Sus scrofa: one gene and its partners. The protein of the gene in region 2 interacts with the protein of the main gene of each other region in a pairwise test. Links are inferred from orthologs where the notes say so. Each region holds a gene or a part of one and is shown on either strand. Other genes may lie near its edges.

The links.
Region 1: the proteins of KRT40 (region 2) and WT1 interact in binary tests that used the Homo sapiens proteins (3 or more experiments, as listed by UniProt). The two-hybrid records come from large-scale screens. The link is inferred for Sus scrofa from reciprocal best matches to the Homo sapiens genes KRT40 and WT1.
Region 3: the proteins of KRT40 (region 2) and SH2 domain-containing protein 4A-like interact in binary tests that used the Homo sapiens proteins (3 or more experiments, as listed by UniProt). The two-hybrid records come from large-scale screens. The link is inferred for Sus scrofa from reciprocal best matches to the Homo sapiens genes KRT40 and SH2D4A.

What each region holds. Positions count from the first base shown.
Region 1 is NC_010444.4:28,449,004-28,453,780, forward strand, and holds part of WT1 (Wilms tumor protein homolog), read left to right. Parts: intron 1-2,341; coding exon 2,342-2,431; exon of another isoform or gene 2,432-3,015; coding exon 3,016-3,108; intron 3,109-4,777. UniProt on the Homo sapiens protein: Transcription factor that plays an important role in cellular development and cell survival. Recognizes and binds to the DNA sequence 5'-GCG(T/G)GGGCG-3'. Regulates the expression of numerous target genes, including EPO.
Region 2 is NC_010454.4:21,479,099-21,484,408, forward strand, and holds the start of KRT40 (keratin, type I cytoskeletal 40), read left to right. Parts: upstream 1-1,626; 5' UTR 1,627-2,799; coding exon 2,800-3,234; intron 3,235-4,486; coding exon 4,487-4,569; intron 4,570-4,976; coding exon 4,977-5,133; intron 5,134-5,310. UniProt on the Homo sapiens protein: May play a role in late hair differentiation.
Region 3 is NW_018084867.1:17,937-22,413, forward strand, and holds the end of SH2 domain-containing protein 4A-like, read right to left. Parts: intron 4,102-4,477; coding exon 3,990-4,101; intron 2,042-3,989; coding exon 1,836-2,041; 3' UTR 1,315-1,835; downstream 1-1,314. UniProt on the Homo sapiens protein: Inhibits estrogen-induced cell proliferation by competing with PLCG for binding to ESR1, blocking the effect of estrogen on PLCG and repressing estrogen-induced proliferation. May play a role in T-cell development and function.

The DNA of each region.
Region 1 (4,777 bases), on a different chromosome or scaffold from region 2:
TTGAAAGAGTGCAATCTTCTTGAATTAATTTTTTTTTTTTTTGTCTTTTTTGTTGTTGTTGTTGCTATTTCTTGGGCCGCTCCCGCGGCATATGGAGGTTCCCAGGCTAGGGGTTGAATCGGAGCTGTAGCCACCGGCCTACGCCAGAGCCACAGCAACGCGGGATCCGAGCCGCGTCTGCAACCTACACCACAGCTCACGGCAACGCCGGATCGTTAACCCACTGAGCAAGGGCAGGGACCGAACCCGCAACCTCATGGTTCCTAGTCGGATTCGTTAACCACTGCGCCACGACGGGAACTCCTTTTTGAATTAATTTATAATAATAGTACAGACTATTTTACTAAGTACTTTGATATTAAATACCTTTTATGGGAGTTCTAACATGGCGCAGTGGAAATGAATCTGACTGGGAACTATGAGGTTGCGGGTTCGATCCCTGGCCTTGCTCAGTGGGTTAAGGACCTGGCATTGTCGTGAACTGTGGTGTAGGTCGCAGACATGGCTTGGATCCCATGTTGCTGTGGCTCTGGCGTAGGCTGGTGGCTACAGCTCCAATTAGACCCCTAGCCTGGGAACCTCCATGTGCTGTGGGTGTGGCCCTTAAAAGACAAAAGACAAAAAAAAAAAAAAATACCTTTCAGGTGCCAAATTCTCTACACACATTATTTCATTTAATCCTCATTCGCAAAAGTCATCAGATGGATAGGATGTAAGGAAGCAGGACTCAAGCTCATGCCTTTTAACGCCACGTCACAAGCCCCTTTCTCAAAGAGTCTATGGTCTGTTTTGGAGCCAAGACATAGCCACATGAAGAGGGACGGAGAGAGCGTGCGATACTGTAGTGGCTCTGGAGGAGCTGAGAAGAGCCGTTCAGAGGATACTGTTTTGCATGAGTGTCATTCATTTCTTGGGAGAGGAAGGGCCCAAGTTAACCATCAAAATGTTAGCAGGAGCAGGCAGAGGTAGTAAAGGGTGAGCAGAAGCAGAAAGGCGGGAAAAGACATGAGACTGCTGAACAGGAGCATTGCTTTTCTCCAGGTTGCAGAGGCGCAGTGTAAGGCACTGAGCCGGATATATAGAGAGAGTTAAGGAAAGGTGTCTGCCCTCAGAATTTTCCAGCCCAAGGCACAAGGTAGACCTGGACACAGCCCCACGTTAGAGGTTCTGTAAGAAAGTCAGTGATGAGGGAAGAGGGGGCGTTCAGTTCGAACATGAGGTTTCCAGGAAGGCATCACAGAGGAAGCTGCATTTGTGAGGGACCTGAGCAGGCTTTTTGACAGGTAGGAACCCAGAGCCAGAGATGAAGGATGTTTAGTGGGAGCAGAGTTCGAGGCCGATGGCGGGAATGGTGAGCGCCATATAGCAGGAATTCAGATTAATCAGGGAAGCAGAGGAGGTCATGCATGGAAGGGTAACCAGGAGCTGCCTGGCAGCGGAAAGCGCCGGCCGGTCCTGGGATGGCTCGCTCTCCATCCCAGATGCCGGTGACTCAGAATTCTCATAAGGGGGTGGGAGGGGCCAGGGGCGCCCAGTGCACTCATGGGGCGCAGTTCCCAGGCTTTGGCTGAACTTTCTCCAGCAGGGACGGGGGCGGGGCTTCTCCCTTCTGAGGCAGGAGGTTGTGTAATCCGGCTCCACTTCTCTCAGGAGAAGGGATACCGGACACTCAACAGGCTCTGGCTCCTGGGTTAACTCGAGCATCTCACAACCATGGCACCATTTCTGCCTGACTCAGGAATGGGAAGTCAGTAGCAGGGAACACCAAATCTTCAAGCCATGAGACACAAATCGCTTACTTCACAGGGCCAGCTCCAGGGCACATCCATCCGGGAATTCTGCCTTGGACTCAGCCTAAGAGTCAAGACTCCTTTAGTTTATAATTGTTGAAATATTTCTGCCAGTATTTTTTTGAGCGAGGCACGGGGCTAAACCCTTTATGTGGATGGTCTGTTGTAATCTGTTTATAAATCCTCGGAAGTTGTTGGATTATGGGCCCCATTTCATAGTAAGGAGATGGCACCTCGTTCAGCCCTGTGAGTGCAAAGAGCTGGATGTGACCCCAGTGTCAGACTCCAGAACCTGAGTTCCCTTCACTTCCAACTCGGCGGTAAGGGACCGTCCTTATTCACCTAGCCCTCTGTTCCACACCAACTGTCTGTGAGTGTATATACCAGTAGGTCTTTCACCTCACACTGCACTTGGCAGCACATCCCTAAAAACCTCCAGCAAAGTGCCGTTAGCATTTGGGAGATCCCTTCAGTCTCAGTAAGAGAAGTTGCCTCTAATGAGATCCTCATTTTCAGTATCATTTTCCAATGGCATATGTGTCTTCCCCAAGGTGAGAAACCATACCAGTGTGACTTCAAGGACTGTGAGCGAAGGTTTTCTCGTTCAGACCAGCTCAAAAGACACCAAAGGAGACACACAGGTTTGTAGGCTCGCTTCTCGTTGCTGGCAGAGTGCTGCCTTGGGTCATGGTTGATCTGTGATTCTCTTGCTTGTTCAATATGGAAGGGAGAGGGTCAGCCATTTGTTTAGTTTCTGCAATAATTCCCCCCACCCCAATCTCTGGGATGACTTTCTCTTAAGAAAAAGAAGAAGAAAGGAAAGAAAAGGAAACATTCCACATTTTTGCTGCAAACCGCAGAACCGTGATAATTTGCTGGTCATACACTGAGTGTCAGTAAAGAACCCGGGCGGAGGAATGCAAAAGCCCATTTGTAGCGTGTGATTCACTTTTTCAGTCTCAGACACAGCTGAGACCTCGGTGAGAAGCTGGACATTTGTGGTTAAGCAATCATTGTTCCCAAGACTACAGGTCTTCAAGGATTACTGTGCAGAATCAGGTGGTTCCTGCCGGGCCTGGGGGACTGGGGAAATCTGAGGGCGAGGCAGACGTTGCAGGCGTGGCTGGAAATGCCCAGCTCCTGGGGCCTCCAGGAAGCAGGTCTTGTGGGCCTCGCTGTGCTCCCCACGGTTAGGGCCGCGGCTAGACCTTCTCTGTCCGTTTAGGTGTGAAACCATTCCAGTGTAAAACTTGTCAGCGAAAGTTCTCCCGGTCCGACCACCTGAAGACCCACACCAGGACTCATACAGGTAAAACAAGTGCGTAAACTTTTCTTCACATTTATTTTTCATTATTTTTTAATCGACTGTTGAATGGGGTTGCTTGTGATGAGAGAGATTGGAAAAGAATGAGTGTAAAAGTTCTAAGGAGGTTTAGATTCAGGGGAGAGAAAGAACAGTGCATGGCTATCTTTAAATAATAACATTGTTTAAGAAGGAATGGGAGTGGGGGGTACAGAGCAAAAGAGATGTGAAAAGAACTCTTTTCGTGCATGTCCAGAATGAAATGAAGAGATAAGCTCGGTCCCTGCCGTTCCCAATTTGTTGCATCACATTTTTTTATCACTGAGTCTGATAGGATCATCAACCTTACAGAAAAACAGCAGAAATTTTAGCAAGCCAAACCCTTATTCTCCTGAAAGCTCACATTTTATGACACTGTTTTCAGAGATCTGGATCCTTGGCTCTGCTCCCCGGGAGCAGTCATGGTTTCTGCCAGGCTCATATTGGTGTGAGGGCATTATTTCTTTCATACTAGAATAGAGAAGGGAATAGGGCATATATTCACTGGCTGCTGCAAGTTTTTGCTTCTCCACAAGGTTGGTGTGATTCACAATGAAAATAGCACCATCTTTGTTGTGTATTTTCTAGCTTTGGAAGGCGGGCCAGTGCTTAGGTTTTCTCATCTTACCTTCACAACATCCTTGGGAAAAGAGTAGAGTAGGAACCTTTTATCCCCATTGTACAGATGAGGAGACTGAGGCACATAGTGATGCAATGACTTTATCTAAAGTCACAAAACTAGGGAGTAGCAAACCCGGTCTGTCTGCCCCCAGCCTGCCTACCCACTGCGTTTTTTGCTGGAGAAAGAGCCTGGGTTCACCTTGCAGCCCAGGGAAGACAGACAATAAAGACCCAAGATCAGCAGAGTTTAAGTCCATCCAGAGACTGAGGAGAATGGAGACCAACAGGAGGAAGGGTGGGGATTTGCCCCTTAGGAGGTGACCTTGGACAGTGTGGCTGGGGGGAAGAGTGGGGCACCGGAGCCAGCTGAGGAAGAGCAGACCAACAGTGAGTGGGAGGTGAGGGAAATGCAAGGACCTGAACCCTGTGCAGCCCCAACAGGCTGTATGTACAGACAGTCGAGGCACCTGTGCCCCAGAGCTGGTGGGCTGGGCATCTTGTTCCTCTGCTCAGGTGCCTTTGGTGTCACTTCTTTGCCTTAATCCTGAGCTCATAATTTGGTGGGAAAGAGTTATCTCCCCTTGTACCCCACTCCCGCCCTGTGCTTTTCTGTATATGTACAAAGTGACGCATGTCACCGGCAGATTGCTGAGGCCTGTATTTGATTGCTCTCCCCGCCCCCCACCCACCACCTGGTTCTGACCCTGGGACAGTGCCTCCCCTGGGCCATTTCTCAGTGCTTGTCCCATCCGGTGGTTCTCAGAGAAGGCAAAGTGTGGGACAAGCCATATCCCGAGAAGATCCTCTGCTGGCACAGGCATTGGCTCCTGTGACATTTTTACTTAGGATAAAGCCATGGCTGTGTGTCCATTATGCTGAGAGGAGGTGAGATGCAGCAAAGTGTGTGGACTTTGGAATCAGACAGACCTGGATGCAAGTCCTCTTGCGTCTGCCCTCACTCGTGGTCCAGCCTCATCTGTAGAATGGGGATAATAGCGCTCACCTTACAGGCTGTTGTAAGGAG
Region 2 (5,310 bases):
AACGTGACCCAAAAAATCATTTTAATTATAAATGTCTGACAATACCACATGTTGGTGAAGATACGGAGGAACTAAATCTCTCAAATGTTATTGTCAAGAATGTAAAATGGTATAATTATATTGGGGGAAAATCTAGTAACATCCTTTTTGTAAAATTGTTTGGCTGTGTCCACATTATGCAGAAGTTCCTGGGCCAGGAATTGAACCCATGCCACAGTAGTGACCTGAGCCTCAGCAGTGACAATGCCAGATCCTTAACCCCTGGAACCTATGGGTGGACAATCAAGACGTGGATTATTTTTTCAAAGAAACTTTTCCTTTGACTCTAGGTCACTGTGGGATCATAACTTTCCTGTGGATATTTATAACTTTCAAGTATGTTTTTGAAACTTTGAACTCATGTCCTTTGCAGAACTGCATCTTATACCATTGGCACACTAAGAATTTTAAGCACAAGTGTTGAAATATTAAGAGAACTACTAAAATCAAACCCAACTCTGCTCAGAGTTCCCACTGTGGCTCAGTGGTAATGAACCTGACTAGTCTCTGTGAGAATTTGGGTTCCATCTCTTGCCTCACTCAATGGGTTAAGTATCTGGCATTGCTGTGAGCTATGGTGCAGGTCGCACAGTCAGCTCGGATCCCACTTTGCTATGGCCGTGGCATAGACTGGCAGCTCTAGCTCTGATTCAACCCCTAGCCTGGGAACTTCCCTATGCCATCAGTGCGGCCCTAAAAAGAAAAAACCCAACTCTGCTCAATGAATAATAAGTCATAAGAGACTATTTTAATGCATTTATTTAAGATTTCTAGGTTTGGCTTTGGTTATTTGTTTATTTTTGCTATCAGCTACCTAAGGAAGTAGTGCTCAGAATTAGAAAAAAACTGTTTATTCTAAATCAAGAAAATATTAATGTTGTCAGAATAATTGTTTTTTTCCCATAAAGATTTTAAAGATTCTGCAGACAAATTATTCTGTACATTTTTAAGGAAATAAATATCACAATTAAAGCCAAGAAAAGTGAAAAGTGAAGATAAAATTTAAGAGAGAATCCTGAAAACTTACATCTCAAATACCTATCCATTTGGTACCACAAGAGATTTCATCCAATGGAACTGCTGGAACTCATAGAATTTTATTCATAAGTTCCAGTATCTTTAATTTTCATGCTCTTGGGAGCTTCAAGATTAAATAAATTAGTAAAAAAGAGAAAAGAGGCTCCATATCCCAGAAGAAAAGCCTGTTTCTTCCTTGCCCCTACTCTGAAATGTAATTTAATTAATGAGGGTTTAGTTTCCCAAGAAACTAAAAGATTATAAGAGAGTTTGTATTTCATTTCTATTAGAGATGCAGTTTAAAAAAAAAAAAAAAAAAAACCACCGTATCCCTGATAGGAAAACGAGGCATTAGAAATGTGGAGACGGCAATTTTCAGGAAATCAAAGATGACAACTTCAGGAGTTCCTGTCGTGGCGCAGTGGAAATAATCCAACTAGGAGCCATGAGGTTTCGGGTTTGATCCCTGGCCTCAGTCAATGGGTTAAGGATCCAGTGTTGCTGTGAGCTGTGGTGCAGGTCACAGATGTGCCTTGGATCTGGCTTGTCTGAGGCTGTGGCGTAGGCCAGCAGCTACAGCTCCAACGGGACCCCTAGCCTGGGAACCTCCCCATGCCATAGGTGTGGCCCTAAAAAAGAAAAAAAAAAAATCAAATGATCACAACCCCATAACTTGATAACCAATTTATATTTTCGGACTGGAGGGCAAAAATTAAGCCCATCCATTATGTAAAGTGACTTGTCAATTTGCACCCAAGTAGGTATGGTTCACATACACACTTTAAACCCAGTACACACCTCACTCCTTTACCATGTGAGCACGGCGAGACCACAGAAAGCATTGCAAGGACTGCAAACCACACAGGACACTTTTATGGTGGTGACACAAACAAACAAGGGGCGCTTAAATGAGTGATATCACTTATAAGTGGAATCTTAAAAAAGATGCAAATGAACATATTTGCAGAACAGAAACAGACTCACAGACTTTGAAAACAAACTTGTGGGTACCAAAGGGGATAAGTGGGGGCAGGGAGGGATGGACCAGGAGGTTGGGATGGGCAGATGCACCCTGAGGTATATGGAATGACTGGCCATCGGACACCTGCCATATAGCATAGCGAACTCTACCCGGTATTCTGTAATAATCCATGCGGGGAAAGAACCTGTAAGAGAATGGATGTGGGCACGTGTATAACTGAACCGCTTTGTTGTCCAGCAGAAATTATCACAACCTTGTAAGTCAACTCTACCTCAATAAAACCTTAAAAAAATGAAAAAATGACTTGTAATATTAATTTTAAAAGAAGACATAAACCATTTTCAAGGCACAGGCTCAAAATCTGTGGGAATATTATTTTCCTTATGCCCAATCAATTGTATCTATAATTACTGATTGGCCAAATTTTCCCTTTTCTTTCCTTATTTGGTCAAAAGGAAAGTATTTCCTATGAAGATTTTCTGAAAAAAAGCATTTTTATCCTCCCGGCACATGGCAACAGTGTCCTTATTTAGCAACTTGAAGTTATGCCTGTTTTATGAGGCATAAAACTCTTCTTCAGCAAATAAACAACACTAATGAGTGTTCATATGAAAACTGGCACCGGAAAACATCCGGTGCTTTGCGTGCTTTGCGTAAATACCCATTTGGGGGCTGATATAAAAGTCTCCGGAGAGAAGGAGACTTTTGGAGGCAGGCAGCTGGAGTTTTGCAACTAGTCTCTGCCCTTCTCGTCTGATAGGATGGCTTCTGACTGTTCCCCCTCCTGCTGCTCTTCTGCGTCGAGGGCCGGGGCTTCTGATGGCGCGATTGCTTCAACCGGTCCCGTGGACGCCACGTGTCTCCCCAGCGCCTGTGCCACCTCCAGATGCCACACTCCCAGGTCCTGTGCATCAGCTGGTTGCCTCAGGCCGCGCTGCTTGGCCGGGAGCTGCCACGCTCCGTGCCTGGTGGGGAACTGTGTCTGGGGTGAGGATGGCGCGTTCAACAGCAACGAGAAGGAGACGATGCAGTTCCTGAACGACAGACTCGCCAACTATCTGGAGAAGGTGCGCGGGCTGGAGGAGCTGAATGCGGAGCTGGAATGCAGGATCCGGGAACAGTGTGAAGAGGACGCCCCGTCGGTGTGCCCTGATTATCAGAGTTACTTCGACACCATTGAAGAGCTCCAACAAAAGGTCTCGTATTTCATCGCCCTGAAGTCCCACCTTCCCAGTCTGTGACTTGCTTTATTTTTGTTCTGCTAGAGGCTGTTCTGTGGCAGGATACCAGGGAAAGGGGAGGGACTTCTCAGAGGTAATGCGATGCAGAGGAAAGTCAGGAGGCCTCAGCACCAGCCCCTAGGCTGCCGCTAATTACTAAGTGATCATGATAAAATAATTGACCTCTAAATTTACCTTTATCAGCTAGGGAAGGAGGAACAACAGTGTTATATCGAGAAGGACTTCTGTGTGACACACTGTACGTGTACACATGTACGCGTTTTTTTTTCTTTTTTGTCCCGTCCCACCCCCGCACACGGAGTTCCTGGACTGGGGATCAGATCTGAGCTGCAGTTGTGACTTAACGCTGCAGGTGCAGAAAATGTGGGATCCTTATCCCACTGTGCTGGGCCAGGATCGAACTTTCGTTCTAGCAGTCCAGAGCCTCTGCTGAGCCCACTGAGCACAGCGGGAAATCCTGTATAGTATTTTTAACGCAGATATTGAAATGTCTTTTGGAAGGGGCATATCTGCAGCATGGAGAAGTTCCCGGGCCAGGGTTTGAACCCATGCCATGACAGTGACAATGCCAGATCCTTAACTGCTAGGCCACCAGGGAACTCCCAAAATGCCATCTTTTTAATCCTATAATTTCACCTAGTAATTATTTCCCTTTATTACTGATGAATTTTTTATTATCTTGGATGGTACTATAGTCGTAAAACAAACTACTTCTGGAGAAAAACCTAAGTGCCAAGGGATACTGCAAAATGTCTTAGGTTGGAGTTCCTGTTGTGGCTCATCAGGTTCACGTGACATGGTATCCATGAGGATGCAGGTTCAATCCCTTGCCTCACTCAGTGGGTCAAGGGTCTGGCATTGTCACAGCCTGGGTCACAGACGTGGCTTGGATCTACTCTTGAGGTGGCTGTGGTATTAGCCTAAAGATGCAGCTCCAGTTCGACCCCTGGCCCTGCCTTAGGTGTGACGGTTAAAAAAAAAAGTCTTGTGTCATTAAAAAACTAAACCTTTTTATTTCTCCATTTCATTTATAACTGGTGCTCCTTTTTTTCTTCACAAAGTGACACGGTTAATAAAAGCAGCCTGAAAGCTACTTTATATTTTCTTGTAAAACTTTAAAAGATAAGTGATGCCTTAGTGGTTAAACAAGTAGATACTTGGGTTTCTTTTCACAGAACCACTTATGACATAATATCTTGCTTCCCAGATCTTGTGTACGAAGGCAGAGAACTCAAGACTTGCTGTACAGCTTGACAACTGCAAACTGGCTGCCGATGACTTTAGGTCAAAGTAAGGTTAATTTGAATTGGAAAATAATTTACGGTTGCCTCTTTCTCTCCTTCTCTCACATAGCTCCACACACACCACTGGTATTCTCTACATAATATTTTTTAAGCCAGAAGTAATTGTGAAATTTCCTTCTGTTTTCATCTCTAAGCAAACCCTATAAAATATGTGCTATGAAAATGCTTCATTCTGTGTAAAGAAAACAGAAGAAAATTCCAACCCCCCTCCCCTCCAAAAATATATATATATAAAGCGAAGAATGCTCACGCAGCTTGAATTTTCATTATTTGGGGAGTAGAAGGAGTCACGATATGTGGGTTCCTTGGGTCCACGCGTCAGTCATTGGTAGGCCCAGCGCTTTGCGCAGTGTCCAGCGGGGTAAGCACCGGCTGTGTCTCTTGCTGTGAAAGGTACGATGCTGAGCTGTCCCTCCGCCAGCTGGTGGAGATGGACATTAGCGGCCTGCGTGGGATCCTGGGGGAGCTGAGCCTGTGCCAGTCTGACCTGGAAGCTCATGTGGAGTCTCTGAAGGATGATCTCCTTTGCCTTAAGAAAAACCATGAAGAGGTGAGGAAAAGGGCAAAATCCCTGAACGGCTCTAAGAGGGGCACAGTTAAACTGACAGAACCCGTGTTGTGTATATAGATTGGACTTGAGCAGATGTTGCTTAAGGTGGAAGAAAAGGACTCGAGGCACTATTACTCCCCAGCCTGATCATTCTGGTGTGTCTCTGAATGTAACGGA
Region 3 (4,477 bases), on a different chromosome or scaffold from region 2:
AGAACGTGGTCATTTAGTGCTGGTCCCCAAGTCCCCAAATGGAACCTTTCAGATGAGTTAAGTGGAAATAATCACAGCAGAGGAAAGGGCCCACCCCCGCCTTCCTCTGAGGTCATAATCACTGTTAGGAAAACACTCTGAAGATAACTACTGACCCCAGCAAAGGGAGATCTTTGCTTTTGTTTTTCCATACTCTGAACAGAGAAAGATTTTTAGGTTTTATTTCAGAAGACAAGGCTTTAGGGGAGTTCCTGTTGTGACTCAGCAGTAACAAACCCGACTGGTATCCATGAGGATGCAGGTTCGATCTCTGCCCTTGCTTGGTGGATTAAGGATCCAGTGTTGCTGTGAGCTGTGGTGTAGGTCACAGACACAGCTTGGATCCCGAGTTGCTATGGCTGTGGTGTAGGCCAGTAGCTACAGCTCCGATTCAACCCCTAGCCTAGGAACTTCCATATGCCTCAGGTGCTGCCCTAAAAAGACAAAAAAAAAAAAAAAAAAAAAAAAAAGACAACGATTTAGTTGTGTTTCATTGAATCAATATTTGATTTCTCCTGGTAATTTTATTTTTATTGTATTTTATTTTACTTTTTAGGGCCGCACCCGTGGCACATGGAGGTTCCCAGGCTAGGGGTCTAATCGGAGTTACAGCTGCCGGCCTACACCACAGCCACAGCAATGCCAGATCCGAGCTGCATCTGCGACCTACACCACAGCTCACGGCAACACCAGATCCTGAACCCACTGAGCGAGGCCAGGGATCGAACCCACAACCTCATGGTTCCTAGTTGGATTCGTTTCCACTGCACCATGAAGGGAACTCCTCTCCTGGTTATTTTAAATATCATCTTTCTATATACCAGAATATGAAAAAAAAAATCACATAATATCAAGGAGAAAATCATAATCAGTCATCATAGGGCTGGGGCTTTGTGCTGTGATATCACTGTATATTTCCTCAGGGATTTTCCAAAACCAATTGTTCTGACTGATTCCCACACGGCCTAGGAGGCAAAAGTACCGTCGTCACCAAATGACACGTTGATTCAAAACAAGAACATTTCCAAGAAAGAAAATTATTATCACAAAAAATAAGACATAAAAAAAATAAATAAAAAGTTAATTGGCTGGAGTTCCCATCATGGCTCAGTGATAACGAACCCGACTGGTATCCATGAGGACACAGGTTCGATCCCTGGCCTCAATGAGTGGGTTAAGGATCCAGCGTTGTCGTGAGCTGTGGTGTAGGTCACAGACACGGCTCAGATCTGGTGTTGCTGTGGTTGTCGTGCAGGCTGGTAGCTGTAGCTCTGATTCTACCCCTCATCTGGAAATCTGGAAACTTTCATATGCTGCAGATGAGACCTTAAAAAAAGAAAAAAAAAAAAGTTAATTTTGAAAAGCCAGGAAAAGGAAAAAAAAGGGAAGAATACTTCTAAATTCTCAACCCATGAGCTTGGCTCTGTAGCGCAGAATGAGAATTACCATCAAAGCTTTAATCCTGAGCCATGGAAAGGTAGCTCTGCTGATGACATGACAGCCAGCAAGCCCTGGGTCCTCCTGTCACGACTCCCTCCCATTGCTGGCTGCCACCCTCTGGGGTTGGGCCAAGCTGGAGGCAAGGAATTCATTGACCTCACTGGGCATCTTCAGAAAGTTATTGTCTATGTGAAGGGCAGTGACAGTGGGGTGTTGTACAGACGAAAAGGGATGAAGGCCTGACCAGGTGCCTCCGTGGTGGGGCTGGTTTGAATGGCACCAGCAGACAGCTGGTCCTCACTCCCCATGCAGCCACTTCACTGCTGATGCTGAAAGCCACCTGCCCAAGTGGCTCCTTACCTGAGGGGTCTGTGGGGGTGTCCGGTTGGGCTCAGGAACTGAGGCTTGGGTGGAAGCGGGGGCCTCCTGGGTTTCTGGGGGCCTCCTGGGGGGCTCTGCGGCCCCTCGCTGCCTCTCCCTCTTTGGGACAGCCTCTTGTAGTCTTCCCTCGCCTGTTTGGCCAGGGAGCGCCTCCTCTCATCAGCTGCTTTGGATTTTCGCACTAGGAAAACAGCGAAAGGTTTGAGAAAAGCCCTCCTCAGCCCACAGAGGTGTCTGGAGGAATCAGCACCGCAGACGCTGGCTCTGGGCTCACTGACTCCTCTGGTGACAACCAACAAGCACTGTTGATGTCTGTCACTCTGGGGGGGTGTGGGGTCCAGGGCAGATTCCTCTCTTTCTATGGGAGCTTGTGGCCTTCTGAGAGGAAGAGAAAGAGGAGGAGGAAGGGATGCAAGAGGACAGGAGAACCACGTGCTCGAGAATTCCCTGCAGTGGCCAAGACTGTGGATGAGACCCAGCCTGTGTGAGCGTCCAGCCAGGGGGCTCTTGGAATAATAAGCAGTAATGCTACATCCCCACACTCGTGCCCCGGGTCACTAGCAGAGACTGGGAACCCCTCAGTGGCTCATGGCTGTGGAGATGCTGGAAGGGCGGTGAGGCCACGCTCAGAGCCCACTGGTTGAGGCTCCGAGCCTCCCAGACCAAACATAACAATTCTTAGAGTTCCTTTGTGGCTCAGCGGGTTAAGAACTCAGTGCTGTCACTGCAGAAGCTCGGACTGCTCTTATGGCGCAGGTTTGATCCCTGGTCAACTTCCACTTGCCTCAGACACAGCCAAAAAAAAAAAAAAAAAAGATTCTTAGGCAGACCCAGCCTCTGCAGGTACATAAACATGTCCCAAGTCTGCCTTTTATGGTTACTTTGTAAAATAGAGGGCTGTTTGTTTTGCTGGTTTTGTTTCAGCAGCCAAACAAAGAAGGACACTAATGTGGGGATTTAAGAATATTTTTCTTTGTCTTTTTAGGGCCACACCTGCAGCATATGGAGGTTCCCAGGCCAGCGGCCGAATCAGAGCCACAGCTGCTGGCCAATGCCACAGCCACAGCAATGCCAGATCTGAATCATGTCTGTGACCAAAACCGAAGTTTATGGCAATGCCAGATCCTTAACCACTGAGCAAGGCCAGGGATCAAACCCAGATCCTCATGGATACTAGTTGGGTTCATTACCACTGAGACACAACAGGAACTCCTAAAAATAAGTTTTACTGAGTGCATTTGCGCATCAGGCCAATTATTGGTCAGAACCTGTTACGTATGACTTCAAAGAAATGTCCCCCTATTGTTCTGTTACACTAGGATTTCACTGCACAGAAGTGATTGGATCTTGTCAACATTTTCATTTCACAAAAAGTGCCATTTTAATGGTTTTCAATGTAGTGGAATTCCCAACAATCTGCGAACATGGCTGCCTGTTCTCCTCCTCCAGCTGCCTACAGGGACGGCTGGGCAGTTACGGCTCCCGTGTCCAAGTCGGATGGAAACCCTAATTCATCCTCCCAGCATCCTCACGCATGCTCGGTTCTGTCTTCCTTTGCGCTGGCCTCTCCCCAGGGGGGCTATCTCTGGGCAGCACTAACTCAGGAGTCAGGGCTGGACCACAGACTTGGGAGGGATGCTGACACACCCAGCCTGTCATCCCTGTGTTTGGATTACAGAGTTAAGATGGGTTCACTGTTGAAAGTTGAGGAAAAGACAGAAAAACAACCTCGGATCCTGCCTCTCTAAGAAGGCAAATGTCAGCATGTTCACCTTCCACTTCTTTTCCTTTATATACTTGGACATTTTTAAGTGGGGACATTTTCATACTATTTTAAAATGATTTTTCTTCTCCAAGCTAAAAAAGATATAAACATGTCCTAAGGACATTAAACATTCTTCCAAAATGTTTCTTCATAGCTGAATATCATTCCATCTCATAGATGAATTGTCATTTTGATGCTCCAAAGATGAATTGAGACCTTTCTGCAGTGGCTCATAGCCTATGAGTAATAATTTAGTGTTAAAACATCTCTCAACAACCACTTGAAGTGCTTCTTAGATTGCTCATCTTATTAAGTGCACAGACAGGCTTAGCATGTGATGTTATGGAGGCTTCTGGATACTTACAAGAGGCCTGCCACTCCGAATCTTCCTTCCAGTTCTTGTAAATCTGCTTAGTTCTCTCTTCATCTATTTGTTTTATTTCTTCATCTTGTGTTTTCTTCACGGACTCTTTCTTCTGTTTAAAAAAACAAAAGGAAGCACTGGTGAAGGACTCCAATAGTTTCCTCCCAGGAGACAGGCACTAGGCATGATATTGGCACAAGAACAGGCATACAGTCAATAGAACAGAACAGAGAGCCCAAAAATGAAAACACAACCTTACAAAATCTATGGGATACAGCAAAAGGAGTCCTAGGAGGGAAGTTCATAGTGATACAGGCCTTCCTCAAGAAACAAGAAAAATCTCAAATGAACAACCCAACCTATTACCTAAAAGAATGTGAAAAAGAAGACCAACAACCAAAGCCCAGTTAACAGAAGGAAGGAAATAACAAAGATCAGAAAGAAAATAAATAAAATAGAGATCCAAAAAATTAGAAATAATCAGTAAC